4 linked regions of the Callithrix jacchus genome follow. The protein of the gene in region 1 interacts with the protein of each later gene in a biochemical or structural test. Links are inferred from orthologs where the notes say so. Each region holds a gene or a part of one and is shown on either strand. Other genes may lie near its edges.

The links. The genes of interacting proteins can lie anywhere in the genome.
Region 2: the proteins of HDAC6 (region 1) and CTTN form a complex in vitro, tested with the Homo sapiens proteins (3 studies listed by BioGRID and IntAct, with this or other methods). The link is inferred for Callithrix jacchus from reciprocal best matches to the Homo sapiens genes HDAC6 and CTTN.
Region 3: the proteins of HDAC6 (region 1) and MAPK3 form a complex in vitro, tested with the Homo sapiens proteins (2 studies listed by BioGRID, with this or other methods). The link is inferred for Callithrix jacchus from reciprocal best matches to the Homo sapiens genes HDAC6 and MAPK3.
Region 4: the proteins of HDAC6 (region 1) and PRKCA form a complex in vitro, tested with the Homo sapiens proteins (2 studies listed by BioGRID, with this or other methods). The link is inferred for Callithrix jacchus from reciprocal best matches to the Homo sapiens genes HDAC6 and PRKCA.

Annotation. Positions count from the first base shown.
Region 1 is NC_133524.1:49,398,167-49,402,957, reverse strand, and holds part of HDAC6 (protein deacetylase HDAC6), read right to left. Parts: coding exon 4,702-4,791; intron 3,776-4,701; coding exon 3,707-3,775; intron 3,596-3,706; coding exon 3,403-3,595; intron 1,978-3,402; coding exon 1,828-1,977; intron 1-1,827.
Region 2 is NC_133511.1:127,376,304-127,381,094, reverse strand, and holds part of CTTN (src substrate cortactin), read right to left. Parts: intron 3,603-4,791; coding exon 3,492-3,602; intron 2,798-3,491; coding exon of another isoform or gene 2,735-2,797; intron 2,147-2,734; coding exon 2,091-2,146; intron 1-2,090.
Region 3 is NC_133513.1:29,412,215-29,416,716, forward strand, and holds the end of MAPK3 (mitogen-activated protein kinase 3), read left to right. Parts: coding exon 1-95; intron 96-344; coding exon 345-459; intron 460-840; coding exon 841-972; intron 973-1,139; coding exon 1,140-1,249; intron 1,250-1,344; coding exon 1,345-1,467; 3' UTR 1,468-1,498; intron 1,499-2,908; 3' UTR 2,909-3,605; downstream 3,606-4,502. Other genes in the region: lysophospholipase D GDPD3, read left to right, coding at 4,257-4,395.
Region 4 is NC_133506.1:122,599,105-122,603,895, forward strand, and holds part of PRKCA (protein kinase C alpha type), read right to left. Parts: intron 1,233-4,791; coding exon 1,076-1,232; intron 81-1,075; coding exon 1-80. UniProt on the Homo sapiens protein: Calcium-activated, phospholipid- and diacylglycerol (DAG)-dependent serine/threonine-protein kinase that is involved in positive and negative regulation of cell proliferation, apoptosis, differentiation, migration and adhesion, tumorigenesis, cardiac hypertrophy, angiogenesis, platelet function and inflammation, by directly phosphorylating targets such as RAF1, BCL2, CSPG4, TNNT2/CTNT, or activating signaling cascade involving MAPK1/3 (ERK1/2) and RAP1GAP.

The sequences.
Region 1 (4,791 bases):
ATTAGTAATAGCTGACATTATTTATTAAGTGTTTGCTCTGTGCCAGACCCAGTTTTAAGTACTTCATGCATATTAACTCAATCCTCATAACCACAGGTGCTCAGTCTATACCAGAACTTGCCTTCATGCCATACAGAAATCCGTCTTGACACTGTCCAGGAACCCCTGGCCTCACATCATACAGTAATCACTGATCTGACCTGCATGAGACGCCTGCTGTGAACCCATACAAAAGCCCCTGCCCTGATCTAGTACAGGAACAACGGACTCTCTCTCCATATGGACTCCTGTTCTGACTTTCTTTACACTCTACAGGAATCCCAGTTGCTATTCTTTTTACAGACAAACTGAGGCAAAAGGCTGGGCGCAGTGGCTTACGCCTGTAATCCCAGCACTTTGGGAGGCTGAGGAGGGCAGATTGCCTAAGGTCAGGAGTTCGAGACCAGCCTGGCCAACATGGTGAAACCCTGTCTCTACTGAAAATACAAAAAACTTAGCCGGGCGTGGTGGTGTGCACCTGTAATCCCAGCTACTCCGGAGGCTGAGGCAGGGGAGTTGCTTGAACCAGGGAGGTGGAGGTTGCAGTGAGCTGACATTGCACTACTGCACTGCAGCCTGGGTGACAGAGCGAGACTCCATCTCAAAAAAATAAATAAATAAATAAAACTGAGGCTCGGAGTGGTTAGATGACTTTTCTGAGGTCCTAACAGCTGTAGAGGCAGCACTGGGATTTGAACTTTGGCTCTCTGATGGAGTCATCTGTGTTTTTAACTCCCACCATGCCCTGTCACAAACAGTACTGGGCACATGGTAAGTGGGACTTTTTGCAAGCCACTTAATTTCTCTGTGATTTATTTTCCTCATCTGTAAAGTAGTGAAAATAACAGCACAGAAGGTTGCTGAGCGGGTTAGTATCTGAACAATGCATAACAGTAACCAGGGGCTAGGTGTGGTGGCTCACACTTGTAATTCTAGCACTCCGTGAGGCTGAGGTGGGTGGATTTCTTGAGGCCAGGAGCTCAAGACCAGACTGGCCAACATGGTGAAACCCCATCTCTACTAAAAATACAAAAATCAGCCAGGCGTGGTGATGGGTATCTGTAATCCCAGCTACTCAGGAGGCTGAGGTGGGAGGATCATTTGAACCTGGAAGGTGGAGGCTGCAGTAAGTTCAGATTGCGCCATTGCACTCCAGCCTGGGTGACAGAGCGAGACTCTGTCTCAATTAAAAAAAAAAAAACAGATCTACCAGATCCAGCATTTACTATATGCCAGGCACTCCTCCATGATTAGCCAGCCTCATAAAGATGAGGAAACTGAGGCACAGGGCATGGGGATACCGAGTCACTTACAAAGGTCAGTGAATTTTCTTTGTCCCAGGAACTTGTTAGAGTCAGTTCAGGTAACAGTAAAAAACACAAACCCTGGAGCCACGCTGCATCGGTTCAAGTCCTGGTTCTGCCATCAGTAAATGTGCCATCTCAGGCACATTTCTTTCAGTCATCTAGTCATCACGCCTCTTTGTGCCTCAGTTTCCCTGATCTTGAGAGGGGAAAAGCTAACCCTACCTCATAAGGCTGCTTTGCCAAGTAACTAAATGAATAAGATACATGAAGTGCTCAGAAGAGTGCTTTGCACACAGTGAGCACTCAAAGCTGTTAATGTTGCTGTTATTCTTATTATTATTACCCAATTACTACCCAGTGTGTGCCCACAATTCCAGGCAGGGACACTTAAAGGAGATTTTAGGAAACTATACTGAATGATAGTGCCAAGATTCCCAAACTACCCTCCCACTGTGGGAAAAGGTTACCAAGAGAGAGTTACCTCTAGGATAAGGATAATGCGGCCACTGGCAAGGCCCATCAGCAGGTGGGTGAGGTGGGCATAACCCTCAGGTGATATCTGGCAGCCCCCCAGCGGGTCCCCCCGTGCAGCGTCAAAGCCAGCTGAGACCAGCACCAGTTCTGGATTAAACTGAGGCAGGGAGAGAAGAGACGTATAAGCATGAGGGTAAGGGCTTTTGGTAGGCAGTAAGTGGTGGTGACAAGGAGACATGGATGGAGAAAAGGACAAATGAAGACATGGAGATGCAAATCAGAGAGATGGAGACACGGGGCCTGAAGACTGGGAGATGCAAAAGCAGAGACTGAAAATGAAGAGAGGAAGAAGAGAAATATAGACTCAGAGATAGAAGAAACAGATGCAGATCTAGAAACATGGAGACAGCAAAAATGGACAGATGGGGACATGAGACAGAGTCATGAGACCAGACTCAGATGTCAAGAGACTGACATGAGAAATGGAGAGACAGAGACATGTCCTCACACACACACCCCAGGGTCAAACGTGGGACACACATACACAAGATACAGGGTTTTATGTACATAGTGCCAAAGAGGGGTGCTCACACACTTCCATAACAGAAGATGGCAACGCAAGCACCACACACAGAGAAGATGGTCACACAAAGCCACGTGTAATCCCACACAGACAGTCCCATATAGAACAGTACTACATATCTGCACTAGTCATGCGCACACATACATACATAGTTTCTTAAAAAGGACAATAACCCACAGCCATCCTGCAGTCACAATCATACACATGCCATCACCACACAGCCACAACAGCCACATGCACTCTGGTGTGTCCACAAGAGCTGGTCACTTGCACATACAGTTGTATACACACAGAAGGCTGTCCTGGCCACCCATGCATAGTCAGATGCACGTGCAGATCCAAAGATGCACACTGGCACCCAGGGTGACAGAGCAGTGCTCACACCTCCTTCCCCTCCCTCCCAGGGTCAGCCATACACAAGCCACTGACCCCCCCGCCCCACAGCTCACACAGAGGGAAGGCAGCTACCTCCCAGTCAGAGACACATACACAAACAGCCAGGGCAGACAGTCAGACAGTGACTGCTGTCACACACAGCCCTCCACATCCAGAGGGTCCCATACAGGCTGTCATAGAGATGGCTGCATTTAGTGACATACAATATCACATCCATCGCACAGAGAAAAGGTGGTGAGAAATACCCACTTGCACAGAATTGCACACACATACTAAAGAACTTGTGATAGCACACATATACAACACAGATCCAGCCAGGACACAGGCCACTGCTGCATAGCCAGAAGGCCCTCACACACACAGGCAAGACAGTCACTCACACAGTGTCACACAGAGAAGGCAGTCCTGTACAGCCACCTGTGTGGTCAAACACACAAGGTAATCACAGTCATCAACTGCCCCAGTAGCCTCATTAGTCACCCTTGGGCTGTCTCATATGATCCGCCACCTGGCAGTCAAACGCACACATGCTGAGGAGGCAGGCCCAGGCTGCCACCTGCACAGGTGTATCACATACATCCTGAGATCTACACTGAGCTTTACCTCGTAGGCAATAGGAAGCACCAGGCGATGCCAGGCAGCTAGGTAGTCAGCATCACCTATGCGGGGCCCATTCCATGCCACGTTGACGGTGAAGCCTGTGCCTGCAGCCCGGCCGATCTGGCTGCTGGCACCCTCATCTCCCATGGGGAAGAAGGTGCCATGATCGTAGCGGTGCAGGGACACATAGAGTACACTGCCGGGGAGGGGGTGGGAAGGGGGCCATAGCTGGTTAGGGGCTCCAATACCCCTGAGGTGCTCACCCATCTCCCTGACCACACCACAGCCCCTGACTGCAGCATCTTACCTGGGGTCATCCTCAAACATGTGCTGAGTTCCATTACCATGGTGGACATCCCAATCCACGATCAGGATCCTGGGTAGGAAGGAGGCAGAAGCTCAGTAACCTAGGATACTCACCCCGTGGAAGAGGGCTGGGCTAGACCCCTGGGGTCTGCAGAGATATTTAGTGTGGAGTGGCAGGACACTGGGTCCTGTCAGTTAAGGAGAAAAGTATGATCCTGGGGTCCCAAGGGCTGTCTCGTAGACCCGAGCAAGTGCTTGGGGCTGGACCTTGGGCTCTTTTGGGTCATTGCTAGGGAACTGGACCTTGGGCTCTTTTGGGTCATTGCTAGGGAACTGGACCTAGACCTCGGGCAGCTAATGCTGGGGGCTGAGTTCTGGGTCTTCTGGAGTATGCATCGGGAGCTTGGACCTGGGTTCTGTCGAGACAGCTTCTATAGGCCAGAAATGCTAGGGTGGGACCCTGGATCCTGGTGTGTGTTTGTTTGAGATGTAGTTTCGCTCTTATTGCCCAGGCTGGAGTGCAATGGCATGATCTCAGCTCAACTGCAACCTCCGCCTCCCGGGTTCAAGCGATTCTCCTGCTTCAGCCTCCTGAGTAGCTGGGATTACAGGCATGCACCACCACGCCTGGCTAATTTTTGTATTTTTAGTAGAGATGGGTTTCTCCATGTTGGTCATGCTGGTCTTGAATTCCTGACCTCAGGTGATCCACCTGCCTCGGCCTTCCAAAGTGCTGGGATTACAGGCGTGAGCCACTGTGCCCAGACCTGGATCCTGTTTTATAAGCACCCAGGTGACACGATCTGGGGGCCCTATCTAAATAAGTACTGAGAGGCTCCATCCTCGGTCCTTCTCTGGGTAAAGGTTGCACCCTTACTTCTTTCTGGGGAAGTCCTAGGAGCTGGACCATGGGGTATGATGAGTAAGCAATGGGGTGGGGGGAGCTTCCAGATCTCCACAAGGATCAGGATTTGGGGGTCCACAGGGAGTCCTTACCGCAGGGCATGCCCACTGATAGCCTGGGCATGGCGAGCAGCCACAGCCACAGAGTTGAAAAAGCAAAAACCGCAAGCTGCGTCCTGCTCC
Region 2 (4,791 bases), on another chromosome or scaffold:
TCCTCCACACCTCCCAGTGGTGCAATCACACCTTCCTGCTTTGTAGGGGACGCAACTCTGGTTTGAGCAAACGATGGCGATGACTCTGAAGTGCTGAACTGGGCGCAGATGGCAGGGCTTGTGGAGACCAGCGGCCGCGCCCAGGTTCACTGCAGGTTTCACCACCTCTGATGAGAACCCCTGAGGCTCAGAAGCCACCAGAGCCCCCACCCCACGGCCCCCTTCTGCCCAGCACTCCTGCTAGCCCGTTCCTGGCCCGCCCTCCTTCCTCGGACCCAGCTCCCTCCTCCTGTCGGTCAGCTCCAGGATCCACTCCGCATCTCCTAAGCCACTCATACCTGTTCAAAGGCAAGGCCATCGGCCTTACTGGGCCCCATCACCCACCAGAACCACTGGAGACATTGCCTCACCCTCAGGGGACGACCTCACCTCACAGCCTGGGTTGTAGCCCCGATGCCACGATATAGTGGGACCTGGGCAGTTATGTCACCCTCTCTAAGCCTGGGGCTCAACTGCACAGCAAACCGAGAGAGAAGCACCAACCCCTCCCGGATTAAACACAAGAGCCCCAAAGGCAGCACCCCCACGCTGCCTCCCCATGTGCTCACAAGCTGCCACCGCCAAACCATCAATGCTGACCACAGACACCCACAGCACAGGCAGCCCCTTGGGTTCCAGCCTCGAATCTACAACCTGTGGCCCACCCATATGGGAGCTCATTCCCTCCACCCGTCCCAGCGCCTTTCAAGGCCCTGCCACCTCTGGGTCCCCTGCCCATGTCCTAACTGCATGCCTACTCCCCCTCCCCACTCTGCCCGAAGAGTGGGCCCAGCCCTGGCCCCACCCAAGCTGTCTCTCGCTGACACCCACATCTGCTCCTCCCAGTTCTCCAGCTCCACAGTCGGCCCCACGTCCACCCCACATCCACCCAAAGCAGATCCCCGCACTGTCCCTTGCCTGCTAAACTTTTCAGGGTCCAGCATGTCACATAATGACGTACAGAATGCTCTACGGCATTTGACGCTCTCCAGGGCTGGCTCTAGCCCTCCTCCCTGCCCTCCCTCTGTAGCTCGGCTCCTGGAGAACCTGCTGTGACTCCAGTCCCACGGGGCCCACACCTCGCCCTTCTGTGGTCTCCTGAGCTTTTGCTCCTGATGAATTCCCAGCTGCCCTCAAAAATGAGCCCCAGCGACTGCTCCCTGGGGACCCCAGCCCAAACACCTGCTCTGCCTGCCCACATTAGGAGTCCCTGGATGGCACTGTGTGTGGTCAACTGCAAGGCAAGGACTGACCCTACCACCTGTGACCGCCAGCCATGCACAGGAGCAGGAAGTGTGGAGTCTGAGTCTCCGTGATGCCGAAGACAGGAGACAAGGCATCGTCACACAGGCAGCACCGGCTGCCAGGGGGCAGCCCCACACGCAGTCTGACACACTCAGGCTCCAATCTGATTTACTGTTAAGAATTTAAGTTTAGGGCGAGCGCGGTGGCTCACGCCTATAATCCCAGCACTTTGGGAGACTGAGGCGGGTGGATCACGAGGTCAAGAGATCGAGACCATCCTGGTCAACAAGGTGAAACCCCGTCTCTACTAAAAATACAAAAAAAATTAGCTGGGCATGGTGGTGCGCGCCCATAGTCCCAGCTACTCGGGAGGCTGAGGCAGGAGAATTGCTTGAACCCAGAAGGCGGAGGTTGTGGTGAGCTGAGATCGTGCCATTGCACTCCAGCCTGGGTAACAACAGCGAAACTCAGTCTCAAAAAAAAAAAGAATTTAAGTTCAAATGGATGTGAGCCCTCGAGGCCCTCACTGCTCATGTTGAACACCTGGGTTCCCGTGGCAGCCCAGCTGTCCACTGCTGTGCCGCAGCAGGTGCTGAGCCTGCCTGGCCTGCGGCCCCCAGCTAGGAGGTGGGCCAGTGCCAATCCGATCCCACAGCGTGGCCATGAGGAGCACAGGACTGTTGGAGTCAGTCATCGCTGCTGCCACCGCTGCCGCCACCATGACGGAAATCACGTGTGCAGATGGCGGCCAGCACTGTGAGCCACGCCCACCCAGAAGACACCAAGCTCCGGGTCTGAATATTTACCTTATCCATCCGATCCTTCTGTACCCCATACTTCCCGCCGAATCCTTTGGAGTAGTCTGAAACGTGACAAAACACAACACTCACTGTGAGGTGGAGGCGAGCGTGGGGCCGACCATGGGTGCATGCAGACAGATCCAGAGACAGCCCAGGAAGGTGCGCCACGGCAGGAGAAACGACAACAAGCAAGCAAGGCAAGCTTTGCTTCCACCCAAGGTCGTGCGCCACAGGCAGGGGAAGCCGAGCACAGGCCAGGGGCAGGCTTCAGCATTCCCTGAGGGGCAGGAGGGGCGGGAGGGGCGGCGGGCTGAGGGAGCTAAGCCGAGGACAGAGGGCAGGGACAGGGACAGGGACAGGGACAGGCCTTCGCAGCGCGCCACTTCAATAGCACAGTCTTCCGCACCAGCACGGGCTTATTCTCATCTGCTTCCTGTGCTCCTGCTCTACTGAGCGCTAAAAAGAGGCTCAATCGCAGTTTGTTCTCTTGCTTTTTAAAAGAAAAAAAAAATCCATGTGGAAACTCTACCAGCCAAACACTTCTGTTGCAGCAACACAGATCCACATGAAAGTCACACCGTCATGCAGAGTGAGGCCACGGAGAGCCACCGCCACCTCCATGCAGTCTGTGGGACCACCCGGGTGTTTACCTGCCCCGGCCTCAACACTGCTGTGCGTTTCTAATGCCGCAGGTGGGAAGCCTAGGATCTGCCCTGCAGGGTTAGGGAATGACTGTTTTTCCAATTATATGTTCAGGCTCTAAGAAGCAAGTCCAGATTCTGAAGGTAACAAAGATACTGCCCTAAGGAAGGGTGTGGAGCTGGCGTCACGCACACACTGTGTGGCTCTGTGTGGAGATGTCACACACACGGTGTCATCAAACGGGACAAACAAAAAACCTCCCACCCCGGCCAAAAACACCACAAATGACACAGACCACACGGGACACGCCTGTCTCCTGGGCCTCACTGCTATGAAGCCCCTGCTCAAATGGCCAGTGGCTTGGCTGGAGCAAACACCTCTCTTGTCATCTGGAAGGCAGGAAGGCCTGACTCAATGGCTCACAGCAGTCACGTTAATGGCACAACAGCCTCTGGCAGGATGCCGCTGAAGAGCGGAGATGCCCGTCCACAGACTGGGTGAGTCACAGGGTTAGAGAGACAGCACCCACTCACTAACTGGCGCTTCCTGCCATGCACAGATCGCAGGCTCACAGGGAAGAAGGCGAAGAGCAGCTCAACATCAGTGTGGCTCTAACAGACGTGGGTGTCAGTGCCCAGTGGCCTGACAGTGGACAGCTGGTGACAGAGGAGGGCCATGCTGCAGGTGCTGACGGTGAGCCCTGAAGTCTGTGCTAGAAGTGGCTGCACGGAGGGGGGGAAGGTAGGAGGCTAGTGGCAACTGTGCCTTGCTGGGACTCGTGCTTGGCCAGCTTCTCCTTGTAATCAAACCCCACGGCAGCGGAGTCCTGCCTCTCCGACTGAACACCGAATTTGCCTCCAAAACCAGTCTTATAATCTGAAAATCCACAAGCAACAGTGGGGAAAACAACCGAGAGAGAAAACACAGTAGGGTTAGAGTTACATGAGCAGGTGCAGAAGCAAACACTTTCCGGAAAGCAAGGGCTCTCCCGAGCTCACGGCCTTCAAGATCCAACCCCCAGGCTCAGGGCTGGCTCAAAGGTCAACGTTAAAGAACGAACTGAAAATCCAAACACTCAGCCAAGATCCGGAAACAGGCTAAGAACTGTACTTCAAATAATGCCGTAACAGCACTCTGGGCTGTGCAGCTCACTCCGAGGGTCCTACCCACACTGCAGAGGAGTGTGCATCTGCATCCATGGGAGGAGAGGCCCTGCAGATGCGGAGGGCACCACAGCCGCCTCAGCCCTGCCCCTGCCTCTCGGGGCTGGCTCACACTGGGAGGGTTTCAGCCCCCTTGAGCTCATTTTCCTAGGGATGGGGGACCTGACAAGAAAACACTTCCAGTTCAAAAGTAAGTATCTCCTGCCAAAAACTGCGGCCCACTTTATAGACAAGAAACCTGGACTAGGAGCACTGTTTCTCTTGCACCTCCTGAAGGCAGAAGACAAGCGCATCCCAGAAGCGCTGCAGGCCTGACCTATGCCCCCACTACCCAGCTGAACCCAGCCCCCTGCTGCAGGCTTGACCCATGTCCCTACTCCTGAGGAAACCCAGCCCCCTGCTGCAGGCCTGACCCATGTCCCCACTCCCAGGGAAACCCAGCCCCCTGCTGCAGGCCTGACCCATGTCCCCACTACCCAGCTAAACCCAGCCCCCTGTTGCAGGCCTGACCCATGTCCCCACTACCCAGCTAAACCCAGCCCCCTGCTGCAGGCCTGACCCATGTCCCCACTACCCAGCTAAACCCAGCCCCCTGCTGCAGGCCTGACCCATGCCCCTACTCCTGAGGAAACCCAGCCCCCCGCTGCAGGCCTGACCCATGTCCCCACTACCCAGCTAAACCCAGCCCCCTGCTGCAGGCTTGACCCATGCCCCTACTCCTGAGGAAACCCAGCCCCCTGCTGCAGGCCTGACCCATGCCCCTACTCCTGAGGAAACCCAGCCCCCTGCTGCAGGCCTGACCCATGCCCCTACTCCTGAGGAAACCCAGCCCCCTGCTGCAGGCCTGACCCATGCCCCTACTCCTGAGGAAACCCAGCCCCCTGCTGCAGGCCTGACCCATG
Region 3 (4,502 bases), on another chromosome or scaffold:
GGATTGCTGATCCTGAGCACGACCACACTGGCTTCCTGACAGAGTATGTGGCTACACGCTGGTACCGGGCCCCAGAGATCATGCTGAACTCCAAGGTAGGAGGGGCTGCCCACTCCTGAAGGGAAGGGGCCAGGTCCCAGGAAGCCCTGGAGCTACCTCTGAGCCAGGCACTGACCCCCATTCCACCCTCTGGGCTTGGGCTCTGCAAGGAAGCTGAGAGTGGAGCCCTCCAGGCCTCTGCCTTCTGCCTGGTGTTGGATCTAGCTTGGGGTGGTGGCCTGGCACAGGCAGCAGGACCCTGTTGAGGCTGTCCCGGGAGCCCATCACTTCCTCCTTTCTCCCAGGGCTATACCAAGTCCATCGACATCTGGTCTGTGGGCTGCATTCTGGCTGAGATGCTCTCCAACCGGCCCATCTTCCCTGGCAAGCACTACCTGGATCAGCTCAACCACATTCTGGGTGAGGGAGTCCCGGCTGACTGAGTGGGGGATAATTAGCTTTTCCTAGGTGAGATTTCTTGAGAGTCCGAGTCAGGGATATCATCATCATGTACGGGGTGCCTCCAGCATCTCCTAGACCTCAACGAGGTATAGATATTATCCCCACTGGAAAGATGGGAAAAGCAAGGCTAAGTCCTACACCTAAGGAGGCACCACACCTAGGATTTGAGCCTCAGTCTGCCTGAATCCAGCCCCTTGCTCTGCTGGGAGAGCAGACTAGGAGGTGACTAAGAGTTTGGCATGGGTTGCTAGGCTGGGGGGTCTTGTTCTTGCCCTCTTGCCTGTTCTGTTCCCAGAAAGGAGGAGGTGATCATTTACCAAGTCACCTCCTTATCCACAGGCATCCTGGGCTCCCCATCCCAGGAGGACCTGAATTGTATCATCAACATGAAGGCCCGAAACTACCTACAGTCTCTGCCCTCCAAGACCAAGGTGGCCTGGGCCAAGCTTTTCCCCAAGTCGGACTCCAAAGGTATGAGAGACGTGGGGACGGGTGTGGCATAAACCCTGGGAGCTGTGGAGGGTGCGTGAGTCCAGCAGCCACCGGAGGAGACGGGCCCTGGGCATGGGGAAGCAAAGCGATGCTCCTGGGAGCTCCTCCAGCCTTCCCTGTGACCCCTGACTCCTGCCCTTCCATAGCCCTTGACCTGCTGGACCGGATGTTAACCTTTAACCCCAACAAACGGATCACAGTGGAGGAAGCGCTGGCCCACCCCTACCTGGAGCAGTACTATGACCCAACGGATGAGGTGGGCCAGTGCCTAGCAGCAGCGGGGCTGGGGGCAGGGGATCAAGTCGGCATTCCCCACACCGGGCCTGAGCCTTACCGTCTCTGCCACCCCAGCCAGTGGCCGAGGAGCCCTTCACCTTCGACATGGAGCTGGATGACCTACCCAAGGAGCGGCTGAAGGAGCTCATCTTCCAAGAGACAGCACGCTTCCAGCCTGGGGCGCTGGAGGCCCCCTAACCTAGACAGATATCCTGTGCCCTGGGGCCTGGTGAGTGTCCCCATGGCCCGCACACAGACACACTGATACTAAATATAGATCTCTATCTCTATATCCACACCTACAGCTATCTCTGTCTCTATCTACCTCTCTCTCTATCTCTATCTAAGCTGCAAGCTTGCCCCGCACCCATGGTCCATGTGGCTGGTGACATCAGAGGTGCCCAGGGAGCTGGGCATGGTGGCTCATGCCTGGAATCCCAGCACTTTGGGAGACAGACTTAGACCAGTAGGTCACCAGAGGTCAGAAGTTCAAGACCAGCGTGGCCAACATGGTGAAACTACTAAAAATACAAAAATTACACACCAAAAACATATAAAAACTACTCAAAATACAAAAATAAGCCGGGCATGGTGGCGCACACCTATAAGACCCAGCCACTCAGGAGGCTGTGGTGGGAGGATTTCTTGAACCTGGAAGGTGGAGGTTGCACCACTGCACTCCAGCCTGGGCAACAGTGAGACTCTGCCTCAATAAAAGAAAAAAATGCCCAAGGACTACCCAGACTCGTGGCCCACCCAGTCCTCCAACCCCAAATGTCTCCACCTGTCAACACCCTGCATCCTCCAGCCCCAGGAGCCATTCTAATCTTCTGGGAACAGAACTAGCAAAGAGGCAAGAGGTTACAGAGGGCCCCTGTCACCCAGGTAAGGACCTGAGCCAGGCCTCAGCTCTGGGTGTGGCAGAAGCAGGTGGAGCCATGATCGCTTTGGGAGGGGCCCAGCATCACCCAGCCTGACCCAGATGGCGAGGCCTCCTCACACCTGCTGCCAGGTTAGCAGTTCACATAGCTGTGGGACCCCACTGGGCCTGCCCCCACCCACACTGCCTCCTCCAGTCTCTTCCTGTCTCTGGCCAGGTGTGGCCTGATAGGAAGAAGGCAGCACACCTGGGCTCAAACTGCAGCTGTGCCACTTAGTAAGTGCTGTGTGGTATTAGACAAGGCACCTCGCCTCTCTGTGCCTCAGTTCCCTGGAAACAGTTTTATTTATCTTGTTTTGTTTTTGTTTTTTTTGAGACAGTATCTCACTCTGTTGCCCAGGCTGGAATGCAGTGGCACAATCATAGCTCACTGCAGCCTCAAATTCCTGGGCGCAAGGGATCCTCCCAGGTAGCTGGACGAGCCTTTGCAACTGGCTAATTTTTTTTTTTTTTTTTTTTAAGAGTTGGGGTCTTACTATTTGCCCAAGCCAGTCTCCAACTCCTGGGCTCAAGTGACCCACCCGCCTCAGCTTCTCAAAGTGCTGGGATTACAGGCATGAGCCACCACACCCGGCCGAGACAGTTCTAATAATGAACGCATAAAACCCTAAGCATTGTTCTAAGAGGTTCGCATGTATTAATCCTTTTAATCTTACAGCAGTACCTTGAGCTAGGTACTATGATTATCTCCATTTACAGATAAGGAAACTGAGCTCCAGCCTGCCCAGCTGTGAGGGTGATGGGCTGCACCGGGTCTGCCCGAGGGTGCTGATGACTCCTCTCCTGCCTGCTTCCCTCTTTAGGAGCTGCCTTCCTCCTGCCCCTCTCCTGCCGGACTGTTAGAAAATGGACACTGTGCCCAGCTCAGACCTTGGCAGCCCAGCCGGGGTGGAACATGGGCCTGGCCACCTCTCTCCTTTGCTCAGGCCTCCAGCTTCAGGCAGGTCAAGGCCTCCTCCTCTCTGCCTGTCCTCTCCACAGGGCATCGGAGGCTCAGGTGGCCCCAGTTCAGTTTCCCGCTGCTGCTGCTGTGCCCTTCCCCAGCGTCCCAGTCTCTGCAGTTCTGGAATGGAAGGGCTCTGGCTGCCCAACCTGCTGAGGGGCGGGGGTGGAGGGTGGGGGGCATTGAGTAGGACTCAGGGCCAGGCCTTCCTCCTCATCTCATTCAACCCCCTCCCTAGTTTCCCTGAAGGAACATTCCTTAGTCTCAAGGGCTAGCATCCCCGAGGAGCCGGGCCAAGCTGAATCCCCTTCCTGTCAAAGCTGCCACTTTGAGCGCCCTCACTGCTTCTGTGTGTGGTGATCGGAGTGGAGCTGGGGGGCGTGGAGAGCCCGGCACCCCCACCACCTCCTTGGCCCGTCTAATATATAAATATAGAGATGTGTCTATGGCTGACCCTAGCTCTGTCTGTGTTTGCGACGCCCTGCCCTGCCCCGTGCGGCTCTGAAGACGGACTCCAGCACCCCAGCTGCTGCTTGCTCAGGCTTTCCAGAGCCTGGTGCCCTTCACTCACACTGCCCAGGGCTGGGGATGGGCCTCTGAGGAGCTCCAGACTCCTAGAAAGAAGGGGATCAATTTTCCCCTTAGTCACTGTCCTGTCCCCTTGCTAATGGCTTCCTGTCTAACTGGCTGGGGGTGATTCGGGGTGACTCAGGGGCACCCTACATACCCCTGGATCCTCTGAAATGGCAAGGGAACAGAACTGGCATGTTGGATGCCCTGGCCACCAAGCGCCAGTGGGAGGGAGAGGTGCTAACAGTCCTGGGTGGTTTTTATTCCCCTTGTGTGGCCAGGACAGGGTGGGTGCTGGGGTCTGGGAAGGGCCCAGGGATATGAGGGTCAGGGCTGCTTGCCTCATCTCCTGATACTACCCTGGCTTCAGCCAAACCCTGCAGTCTGGCTCCAAGCCAGCCCAGCGGCAGGCTCAGCAGGTCCCAGGGGCGTGGCGGTGGCCAGTAGTAGAGCTGGCCCACACCGGCTAGGCAGGCAGCAGAGTCCCTGGACGGCTGAGCGTGCGGCTGTGGGAGCTTCTGCAGGAGTGCAGTCATGAGCCTTTTCCTGTACTGTGCCCTCCCTGCCCTGGGCAGTTATGCCATGCTCTCCAGCTTCTTCCTGCGCCGGCCTCACCTGCTGCACACACCCCGGGCTCCCAACTTCCGCATCCGCCTGGGAGCCCACCGAGGAGGTGAGCTGGGTGGGGGTGAGAACAGGCGCCAAAGTGGACAGCAGAGAGAGGTAGGTCCAAGGGGTGGATGCTAGAAACAGGGCAGAGACCAAGAGGAGGAGAGCGAG
Region 4 (4,791 bases), on another chromosome or scaffold:
TGAAGTCATTCCTTGTTGTTCGATCCCAGTCCCAGATTTCTACAGACAGTCGCCGGTCTTTGTCTGAAGGTTTCAATTTGCTGCAAGACACACACACACACACGCAAACACCAGGTTATCTTGCTTGTGGTTTTATTGGGAGATAACACATGTACGTGACTTGAGACTGAGATAGAGAATTAGTATATTTAATTCTCTTACTGGTCCAGTAAAATACCAAACCTTATGCTGGCAACCAAAGCTCTACAGGAGGAGTTAATAAACTATGACCCATGGGCCAAATCTGGCCCAGTCTATTTCTATAAATAAAGATTTATTAGAATGCAGCCATGGCTATTTGTTTCCATATTGTCTATGGCTGCTTTGGCACTAGAAAGTTAGAGTTACAGAGGTGCAACAGAGACCGTATGACTCACAAAGCCTCAAATATATACTCTCTGGTCCTTCACAGAGCAGAACTTGCTGGTCCCTCTAGAATAGAGAGCTACCTTTCTGGCTGTCCACAGAAAAACTGCCTCCTGTTACTAGTCTACAAAGAGGACCTCTTGCTTTTGCTCAGCTGCCCTCAGTCCTCCTGACTTATTTATTTCCTTCTTCCCCTTCTACCGTCTCTACCTCTGAAACCCGGGCAGCCCTCCCAGGCTGACTTTAAATGTCACATTTTCCAGGAATTCTCTCTTTGAAGGCAAGAATGATCTTCCCGTTTCAGTGGCAATAACACTTTCTATGTCGCTCACTCATTCTGTGATCTAAAAATTATTTAAATTCTCGCCTTATGCCCTCCCCTAACTCTCAAAAGAACCTAAATCCATCAAGAGGTGGACATACCTGATACATTTATCCAGATTAGATAATAATAATTTGAGGCCTGAATTATGCAACTCTTGGTATCATAATTACCATCTATCCAACAGGTACTAATAGCTACCTCCCTAATGGCAGCCTGAGGAGATCTTAGGACTGAAGACATGTTTAAAGACATTTATAAGCAGCCTACTTCATCATCTCAAATAATGAGGTGGGCAACTGCATGGCGTATGGGAACGAAATTTTATCAAGGAGAGGGACCACTTACAAGGTAAAGGACTCATTCCACTGGGGATTTAGCGTGGAGCGGATGGTTTTGGTTTTTTGTTTGCTTTCGTTCTTGGGATCAGGAATGAGTTTCAGCTTCACATAAGGATCTGAAAGCCCGTTTGGGTCCATAGGGATTAGATTTTTTGCGTCTCGTACTGTGAAGAGAGAAGGAAGAAAAGATTACAAAAAGAGAACAAACCTATATTGCCCAGTGTCCTGTGTCAATACCAAGCTGAATAAAAGAGACGTCAGGATGGCGTTTAGGGAGAGAAAAGGTGGAAACAAAAGCCTCTAATGCTCGGCTTGAGAAAAGGTACCCGCTGCCATCACTGGCAGAGATAACGGGCATCATGTGGGCCCTTGTGGGCGCGTCTGGAGACTCAGCACCAGCCTCGACTGGCAGCATCAGCAACACTCAGATTATCTATTAGAAATGCAGAAACCCAGGTCCCACCCCAAACCTGACCAAGAAGAATCCACAATTTAACAAGATTCCCAGGTGACCTGTGCAGCTTCCCAGGAGTATGGTGCACCCTCCCTACACGGAAGCAGCCAGTCCGACCTAGTCTCTGGCGCTCACATGGAGCTGAGCTCTGGGAAGGTGTTACCCCATTTTGTGGGTAACGACCAATGGTTTCCAACCCTGGCTGTACATTGAAATCACATGGGGGTTGGGGAATGGGGGTGTTAAAAATTCTAAACCCCACAATTAAACTATAATTTCCAGGGAATGTGGCTCAAATATTGGTTTTTATTTGTTTGTTTTTGAGACAAAGTCTCGCTCTGTCGCCCAGGCTGGAGCACAGTGGTATGATCTTGGCTCATTGTAACCTCCGCCTCTTGGGTTCAAGTGATTCTCCTGCCTCAGCTTCCCGAGTAGCTGGGATTACAGGCCACCATACCGGGCTAATTTTTGTATTTTCAGTAGAGACAGGGTTTTACCATGTTGGTCAGGGTGGTCTTGAACTCCTGACCTTGTGATCCACCCGCCTTGGCCTCCCAAAGTGCTGGGATTACAGTCGTGAGCCACCCAGCCTGGCCAAGTATTTGTTTTTAAAAGCTCCTTGGGTGATTCTATTGGGCAGCAGGGGCAAGCTATACACAGCTATAATTCAGAATTGCTACGAGGTGCTGGTCCATGGACCCGCAGCATCTACATCACGTGGGAGCTCATTAGACACGCAGAACCGTGAGCCCTATCCTTGGACTTAATAACTCTGAATCCTCACTTTAACAAGACCTCCAGGTGCTTTCAATGCAATCCTAGTTTGAAAAACCTGATATGGGAATCAAAAATAATTAGAAAGAAAGGCCATTTCACCCAGAGGAAGGCAGGTCTGAGATTCAATGGCTGGCAGAGGCTCACAACAGTGAGAAGCTGTCTAAAGCCACTGCACATCAATGTAAAAGGTAATTTATCCACTGCTATGATGAATAGACAAAGCCTTCAGCCTCCTACCCCAAATGCCTTCCTCGTTATCTTCCAATGGCATCTTCCCCAGTAAGGCAGAATTATCAGATCCCTAACTGGTCAGACACCATCAGCACGCGTATAACTGGGACCAGGCTCCCCAGTCCAGTGGTTCCCACAGTGTGGTCCCTGGAACTGGTCCAGCGGAACTGGCATCACCTTCTGAATCAGAACTCTGGGGTGGAGTCCAATGAGCTATATTTACCAAGCCTCCAGGTGATTCTGATGTCCATAAAAGTCCAGAACCATGGATCTAGGCAAATAGCATAGTTTATCAGCATAGTTTGATTGTTAAACTAAGAATTAGAGAGGAATTTAGAAGCAAGCACTGGAGTTGGCAGTGGGCAGGGCTAGATGGGAAGGGGGCGGGGCAGGGGAGAACCCTAAAGATGTTGGGTCTTTGGACAAACATGTGGGAGGTACAGCCCTAGGATCAGAAGTCAGAAATAGGCACTGCCTTTACTAGTCTGTGGACCTACTGTGTGCTGTCTCCTGCCAGCCAACAGCCTTATGTCTTCCTTACCTGGCAACCTTACAGAGGTGGGTAACAGATGGGACTAAATTCAAATAGTCAGAGAAGGGGAGGGGACTGGCTCAGGTCTGCTAGCCACAGAGAAGCTGAACATATGTCTATCACACCCCACTGGTGCCTTCCAAGTATGTCTTCTCCTAAGAAAGTATCTGACCTCATTCATCTCGGGGAGCACATAAATAAAACAAACAGGCATGATCCCCGTGGCTCAGCAGGTGTCTCACCAGGTAACCCTGAGCACAGGGAAGCTGAGTCTCTGAGCCTCTGTTTCTTCATCTAGAAAAATGAAGAGGGGCATAATTCCAGTGGTACAGACTGTTGGGAAAATCAAAGAAAATAATGTTTATAAAAAACCTTACATTGTTGGGGTCTTAGAAAATGGAAAAAAAAAAAATCCATGATGTGAGTGCTCACTACAGCCCGGAAACAGCGTTTCAGACTTGTGTCCACTCTTATCATTCTGAAATCCAGAGGGTTGGAGGCCCCCAGGGAACCTGGGCACTCAAGAATTCACCAAGCTCCTGTGAAAGGTTTTAATCCAATGCAGAAGGTCTTGCCCCTAAAACATCAACCCTAAGTATCACAAAAGATGAAAAATGTGAGCATAAAAATGGAGCTCTCTCATGAGGAGTGGAAAGAGGCCAATGGTCTATCTCTGATTAAACACCAGAATGAGAATCAGCTGCTTTTTAAAGGTAGAAAATGCCCCAGAATGTCTAACACTGGAGGCTGCAGAAGGTCACATACAGGATAAGCCAATGAAGACCCTTATCAAGGCCACCAAGAGCTCCTGGGTTGCAGAATTATTGTGGGCATCTGCTTTTAAGTCTTCAATTTATATTCCTGACAACACACATACATACACACACACAATCATGGAAGTATGATCTCTTCTGAATGGTGATGAGTTAAAATCTTGATGGGATTTAAAGCTGTGAGCTTCCTACTGAGATACTATCATTTAAGTAGAAAATAAAAAGAGTTATCAATTCCAAATGTCATTGAGGCGGACAGTGGGTCCAAATTTCAATTTCTTATCGCAGCAGAGAACAGCCTGTGTGATGTGTGACTCATGGCATGCCAGGACACCTTAATCAGGATTATGAGCAACTAACTTGGGGGTCCCATCTGCTCGGAGTGTGGGATCTGGGGCAAGGCTGCCTGCATTTGAATTCTGGCTCTGCCACTCTGTAGTTGTGGGCAAGTTATTTTATCTCCCAAGTTTCCTCATCTCAAAACTTGTATCTCCTTCGTCAGGATTATGTAGGCTCATACATATTAAGTGCTTAGAACAGTGATTGGCACATGGTGAGAGCATGATAGTGATGATCCTAATTGTTCTTAATACAAGTCACTGGTGGAGAAGAAAATCAACAAGGCTTAGATGTCCAGAAACTGCATCGACAGCATCTGCAAATGCCGAGGAGAACAGTACAATGTGGCAATCTGCGAACAGGGCCTGCAACTGCATGGTTTCAAGAATGTCTTAGGCTAAGAGGCAATGCTAGGGGCATTACTCACAGGAATAGTTGTAAGGAAGCTGGAAGAGGAGAAGCTAGGAAAGAGAAAATAAGAGGGAAATTGAAGTGGGGAAGTAGACGAGAACAAGGGCTGGAGACAGAAGAGAGAAACAAGGGAAATATGCAATCAAGATGTGGAGTCAAATCCCAACACTTTGGGAGGCCAAGGCAGGCGGATCACATGAAGTCAG